Linked DNA regions of Xenopus tropicalis. The protein of the gene in region 1 interacts with the protein of each later gene in a pairwise test. Links are inferred from orthologs where the notes say so. Each region holds a gene or a part of one and is shown on either strand. Other genes may lie near its edges.

Region 1 (3,841 bases):
GTACATGACGGAAAGTGTGAAACCGCCGGGGTAAGGGTGTCAAAGCAGCATTGTATGTTGATGACAAGCGGTGTCGCAGTCCCCTCCACTGTTCAGGGATGGTTTTTCCAGTCTGGAGTCTTCTAGGTCCAAAATAAGCACGTTAATATGTTAAATGCCGGGAATTTCCTACCAGTCATTTGAACTGAAGAAGCCGCTCGGATGGGCAGTAAAACGTTTTCCCAAAAACTCAGAAAAGTCCAGTTGTTTTAAACTTAATTCTACTAGATACTGTATATCACGACCTGGATGAATGAAAAACTTTAGAGAAACAAAGTGCGGAAATGACAACTCAAGTCATAGCTTATATATGGGAGGGGTTGGAATCCAAACCAAGAGGAAAAGAAGGTTCAATCAGCTCCTCAACCCTACTGGGAGAGTGTCCTCCATGTTGGCTGTTCTTTGGCACGAGTCTGGCAACCCCTCCCCCCATTAATGATGGGAATAAAGAGGCAGAATGTTCTGGGCATACAGGTTCAATGCTGATTGGAAGACAAAGTTAACACAGTAGAAAAAAGCAGGGTCAGTCTTTAGGCACTACCAAAATGGCAAATGTCGTAGGAAAGAAAGAAAGTCTATACCCAAAGCTGGAGGAAAGGATAAAAACAGACTGGGGGAGGGTGGGGGGGATAAAAGAAATTAGACCAGTGACAGGATGTTAGTAGAAAGCATAGGAAAGAAACGGAACAAAAAGGTAAAGACAATAACTGTTTTTCATGCTCAAACACCCATCAGCACTACAGAGATCAGGTAAGTGGGTAACGTATATACTACTGGGCAGGGCTAGTCAGTGCCACAAAGGCCAGAAGCAGTGTATGTGGGTGGCCGAGTGGACAGCACCATTTGGGTGGGAGGTGGGGGGTTACATCCCATGCTTCTAGTTAGGGCCAAAAAGTAGAAGAAACCACAACAAGGGCACAGAGTAATTTAAAGGAACAGTAAAATCAAAAAATTAAAGTGTTTTAAAGTAATTAAAATATAATGTGCTGTTGCTCTGCAAAAAACTGGTGTTTTTGCTACAGAAAAGCTACTATATAAATAAGCTGCTGTGTAGCCATGGGGGCAGCCATTCAAGCTGGAAAAAAGGCACAGGTTACATAGCAGATAACATTACATTAACATTTATTTATAAAGTGCCAACATATCCCGCAGTGCTGTACAATAAGTGGGTTTCATACATTGGACATACAGAGTAACATATAAAGCAATCAATAACCGATAACTAGTAGATAAGTCCCATATAATGGGGGTTTATCTGTTATCTGCTAAGTAACCTATGCCTTTTCTCCTTTGAATGGCTGCCCCCATGGCTACACAGCAGCTAACTTTTATAAACTATAGTAGTCTTTCTGAGGCAAACACACCAGTTGTAGCAATGCAGGGCAACAGTACATTACATTGTTATTACTTTTATACACTTTAATTTTTTGGTGTTACTGTTCCTTTAAAGTCCAGCCCTGGTGAGTAACACCAATAGTAAGTCTTTACGTAACCCAATTAAAAGTGAGCCTACCAGAACCTCATTGCTCATTTGATATTAGCTATCAGGCCGACATTCACTACATGCCATTTCCCAGCACAGAAGCTGCTGCAGGTTATGTAACCAATAATACAAAGAAAAAGCACATTCAAAAAAGACAAAAGGGGTTGTTCACCTTAATATTAACTTTTAGTATGTAGAGAGTGATAGACAATTTGCAATGGAATTTCACTTTTTCTGTGTGTTTGTGTTTTTTTTTTTAATTTAGCTTTTTGTGCAGCAATTCTTCAGTTTGCAATTTCAGCGGCTATCTGGTTGCTAGGGTTCAAAGTATCTTAGTAACCCTGCAGTGGTTTGAATGAGAGACTGGAATATGAATAGGAGAACCTGCATAGAAAGGTAAGTAACTATAATAAAAGTTGTAGCCTCACAGAGCAATAGTTGTTTGGCTGCCGGGATTAGTGACCATTTTTTAGCTGAAAAAAGTCAGAAGAAAAAGAGAAAAAAAATGAAGACCAACTGAAAAGTTGCTAAGAACTGGTCATTCAATTACTTACTAAAAGTAAACTAGCCCTTTAACACAGAAGAGCAGGGCCCTCCAACCACAGGCTCTTCCAAGGTTATTGTGCTTACCCTGTACGTTATTAGCCTACAGTTGCGGCACATGTAATCGGCACAGTTGCGACTCTGGGGGAGTCCATGGCATTTTATTAGCCAAAGCCCCTTCTCAACATGTGGATGAGGCACTGGCAGATTAGAATTAGGAGTTTTAATTATTTGCAGGGTCAGAAGTCAAAAAATAATTGCTCTGTAAGGTCATAATGTTATCATTGTTACTTTTTATTCCTTATCTTTCTATTCAGCCTCACTCCTATTTATATTAGTCTCTCATTCAAGCGACGGGCTCGTTGCTAAGTTAAAGAAGCCCCTGGCAACCAGCTGTTAAAGTGCCAAACTGGAGAGCTGCTGAACAAAAAGCTAACTAAAAAAAAGGTGCAAAATTGTCACAGAATATCCATGTCTTATTAAAAGTTAATGTAAAGGTGGACATCCACTTTAAGGCTTGAAGTTCAGCAAACCCCGCAGAATGGAATCTCCCAATCCTGCATCTCTTACCCCACTATAAAGCTCTGATTAAAAACCTGCACATCATCAGTTACAAATGCCAAAATGGTAACAAAGAAACAAAGAGCACAGCACGGTCACAGTCACAAACACACACAAAACATACAAGTAAGAGTTTGCTTTACCTAAATGCAAACTGGATGAGGATCCATGTGATGAAAGGGATGGCGGTGGCGTTAGTGAATGTCCTGACGTTTGGCTTGGCAGAGGCATGCCTATTGGACTCGGAGAAGAGGAGAATCCCAGGCTATTGTAAAATGGCTGCCCTATGGGTGCTAGGCTGCTGCTAGACCTTTTGTACAAGTCAGAGCTAGCAGACAGGGAATCTCTCCTTGAGCCACTACTACCTGCGGAATTGCCAACTGAAGAAATAAAATAAAAAAAAAAACAAACAAAAAATAAAAATTTAAAAACACACAGGGTTAAATGATGAACATCTAAAATTAGATTCAGGCGAGAGACACTAACGGAAGATTGAAGGATGAGGATGGCGACAGCTAAAGGGAAAATGGGGGCTAGAGGGGGTTGGCTAGCGGCTAGAGAAAAACCCTAATTTATTGCAATGAATACAAATTCTGATAATTAGGTATGATGTGTGTAATTAATAGCATCATAGAAACAGTCGGCTCGGCTGTAATAATGCTTAGCTCACGGGTGTCAGTTCAGTGTAACATTTAAACTGGGTAAAATAGACCGTGCAAAATAAAAAATTTGTACAGGTATGGCACCCATTATCCAGAATGCTCGGGACCTGGGGTTTTCCTTGATATGGGGTCTTTCCATAATTTGGATCTCCATACCTTAAGTCTACTAAAAGATTATTTAACTATTAAATAAACCCAATAGGGCTGTTCTGCCCCCAATAAGGGGTAATTATATCTTAGTTGGGATCAAGTACAGGTACTGTTTTATTATTACAGAAAAAAGGGAATCATTTAACCATTAAATAAACCCAATAGGATTGTTCTGCCCCAATAAGGGGTAATTATATCTTAGTTGGGATCAAGTACAGGTACGGTTTTATTATTACAGAGAAAATGGAACTCATTTTTAAAAATTAGAATTATTTGCTTGTAATGGAGTCTATGGGAGATGGTCTTCCTGTAATGCAGAACCTGGATAATGGGTTTCCGGCTAACAGATCCCATATCTGTAATATAGTTAGGCAAAAATGTAATCTATAAAGGCTGGAGTGAG
Region 2 (3,841 bases), on another chromosome or scaffold:
AATTTACTAGTTTTTATTTTGATTATTGAAACTTAGCAGTAGCTGCTGCATTTCCCACCCTAGGCTTATACTCATGTTAATAAGTTTTTCCAGTTTTGTTAAGTAAAATTAGGTACCTTGGCTTATATTCAAGTATAAGTTTCCTCTTTTGTACATTTCTAGTTAAACTGGCAAGATCAGATGCACTTCCCTTGTACAGGTATGGGACCCATTTTCCAGAATGCTCGGGACCTGGGGTTTTCTGGATAAGGGATCTTTCTGTAATTTGGATCTCCATAACTTAAGTCTGCTAAAAATCATTTAAATATTGAATAAACCCAATAGGCTTGTTTTGCCTCCAGTAAGGATGAATTATATCTTTATCTATATTATTTGCTTATAATGGAGTCTATGGGAGATGGCCTTTCTGTAATTCGGAACAATCTAGATATTGGGTTTCAGGATAAGGGATCCTATACCTGTATTTTTCAGCAAGCCCAAAAAGCCTGAAATTCAACCTTTAAAGTGCAGCTGCCTCCAATGGACTTGGTCCATTTATTATGGTCAACCTTACTATTGGTAGGCCCTTATGATTGCTTTGTCTCTAGGCTGCTTGCCCTGAACTGTTGCCTTAACACTGGTCTTTGTTTTGCGTTAACTCCCTTTGTGGTGACCCTTGGAAACCCCCCATTACATTGCAATGCCTAGTTCATTACTCCAAACACTACGACCAGAAACACTCTATGATCCGCGATCATGACAGACAGTTTTACTTTACTCAGCGTTTGTGAATAAACCTCCATTGTGTTGGAAAAAAATATCAAATTTACCTTACTGGCAATCTATGGATTCTGCCAAATGCCAGAGAGGCTGCTGTAAGATGCCATAGACGGTCACTAGTGAGTGGGTGGGGGGGTTGTTTGAGTCTCTGTGTATTAGAAATGCCAGGGCCCATTTTAAATCTGTTTAACCAAAGTATATAGTGAAAAGGGACCCTTACCCAGAAACAAGTGTCCAGAAAGCTCTCTACTAGCTCTCTCCTTGGAGTCTGTTTTTAAATGGACAGTATACACATATGAAAGATGTGTATACTGTCAGCATAATGTTTTGTCTTATAGCAATACAGTATATACTTTTCGTGGTTAATCTTCAGAACGAAATGCATGTGTTTAAAGTTAATTTCTGTTTATAGTCTGCAACAGAAGCAAGTGCTGGAGAGGAGGCCGCCTCTGCTACAAGCCAAGCTTTTGTGTTGCCAGAGGGGAAAGTCATTCCCAACACCGTGTTTGTTGGAGGCATTGATATAACGGTACATTTTTTATTTTATTTTTTTCCCCACACCCCCATTTAGTTTAAGTAAACATACTTAAAGTATACCATATATATTATATTATAATTTTTTTTTTTTCTTAAGATGGATGAAATGGCGATTGGCAACCTCTTTGAAAAGTATGGCAAAGTGAAAGACTTAAAAATAATCACAGACAGAACAGGGGTGTCCAAAGGGTAAGTTGGTACCTTATTTTATTTTTTTTTGGGCAGTAAGTAAAAATTTACTGCCGGCCCCCGAACCGACTGAGCCCATTACTGCCGTTATAATTTGACTATTGAATTAGCCTGCATTTGCCCGATATCGCCCATCTGTAGGTGGGGATATCGGGAGAAGATCGCCAACCCCATGTAAAGGGGTTGTTCAATGTCCAAATTATTTTAAAACCACCAACAATAGTTAATTTTTCCCTTGCAATGACATAGGCAAACTCTGCATATCACAAATGTATGTATGTGTGTATGTATATGCAGGGCCGCCATCAGGGGGGCACAGGGGGGACAGTTGTCCCGGGCCCGGGCGTTTAAAGGGGGCCCGGCTGTGCTAGTTTTTTTTTTTACCTCGGGCCCTGTTACTTCCATTGCCGGCGTCCGCTGTTATGTCCCGAGCTCCCCGCTACATGTTCGCTTTTATAAGGTTGCGCCCTGTGCTCACTGACGTCACACGCACGGAGCGCAACCCTATAAAAGCGCACATGTAGCGGGGAGCTCGGGACGTAGTGGAAGATACAAATGAAGCCGGAGTTGACACAGGTGAGGAGCCGGAAGAAGCAGAAGGATGCTGGCGGCGGAGGACTGGAGGATGCTTGGGGGGACCCTGGGGGAAGGTGGAGGATACTTGGGGGGGGGGGGGGCCCTGGGGGAAGGTGGAGGATGCTTGGGGGGGGGGCCCTGGGGGAAGGTGGAGGATTCTTGGGGGGGGCTTGGAAGAAGCAGCAGGATGTTGGGTGGGGGAGTTGAAGGATGCTTAGGGGGCCCTGAAAGAAGCAGGAGGATTCTGGGGGGGGGAGCGTCAAGAAACAGCAGAGTGGGCCATTGTATGGGAACACTGGGGGAGAACCACCAATGTTTTAGGGGGCCCTGGGCTGGCTAGCAATGTATTAGTGGGTCCCTGCCACTAATGCAAAACGTAACCCTTGGCAACAAATGTTTAAGGGGTCCCTGGCTACCAATGTTTTAGGGGGCCCTCGCTACCAATGCTTGTGTATCCCTTGTATTGATGGTGGGGCCCAGAAATTTTGTTATGAGGGGCCCTGTGATTTCTGATGGCGTGTGTGTGTGTGTGTGTGTGTGTGTGTGTGTGTGTGTGTGTGTGTGTGTGTGTGTGTGTGTGTGTCATATACATACACACACTATATATATATATACATACACACACTATATATATATATACATACACACACTATATATATATATACATACACACACTATATATATATATATATACATACACACACTATATATATATATACATACACACACTATATATATATATATACATACACACACTATATATATATATACATACACACACTATATATATATATACATACACACACTATATATATATACATACACACACTATATATATATACATACACACACTATATATATATACATACACACACTATATATATATATATATACATACACACACTATATATATATATATATATACATACACACACTATATATATATATATATACATACACACACTATATATATATATATACATACACACACTATATATATATATATATACATACACACACTATATATATATATATATATATATATATACATACACACACTATATATATATATATATATATATATATACATACACACACTATATATATATATATATATACATACACACACTATATATATATATATATATATACATACACACACTATATATATATATATATATACATACACACACTATATATATATACATACACACATACACACACTATATATATATACATACACACATACACACACTATATATACATACACACACTATATATACATACACACACTATATATACATACACACACTATATATACATACACACACTATATATACATACACACACTATATATACATATATATATATATATATATATATATATATATATATATATATATATATATATTAGTGTGTGTGTGTGTGTTAGATTTTTATAGCACTGTCACAGGCACAGAAAGCAATGTCAGACTGACAGGAGTTAAGTCTGCTGCCAGTAAGGAACTTAAAAAAGCAACTGTAGTGTTTATAGGGGTCACTGCCCCCCCCCCCCCCCCCCTTTCTTCCTGCACAGGGTCTGTGCAGAAGTGAAGGATCAGCAGAGGGACTGAGGTGAATATCTCTTCCTGCCTTCATTCTGAACTGAGCTCTGTTGCACCTGTTGTCACAGGGAAACAGGCAGTAGCTCTAGGGTTGCTTTAGGGCCCCATGTCAATAGGTGCGGCACACTTGCATTGAAAGAATAGGGTGAATGTCACTGGGGGGGAAAAAATGGCAA

Evidence for each region.
Region 2: the proteins of pum2 (region 1) and dazl interact in a two-hybrid assay, tested with the Homo sapiens proteins (2 studies listed by BioGRID and IntAct). The link is inferred for Xenopus tropicalis from reciprocal best matches to the Homo sapiens genes PUM2 and DAZL.

What each region holds. Positions count from the first base shown.
Region 1 is NC_030681.2:143,259,673-143,263,513, forward strand, and holds part of pum2 (pumilio homolog 2), read right to left. Parts: intron 3,007-3,841; coding exon 2,770-3,006; intron 1-2,769. UniProt on the Homo sapiens protein: Sequence-specific RNA-binding protein that acts as a post-transcriptional repressor by binding the 3'-UTR of mRNA targets.
Region 2 is NC_030677.2:190,324,817-190,328,657, reverse strand, and holds part of dazl (deleted in azoospermia-like), read left to right. Parts: intron 1-1,171; coding exon 1,172-1,288; intron 1,289-1,393; coding exon 1,394-1,485; intron 1,486-3,841. UniProt on the Homo sapiens protein: RNA-binding protein, which is essential for gametogenesis in both males and females. Plays a central role during spermatogenesis.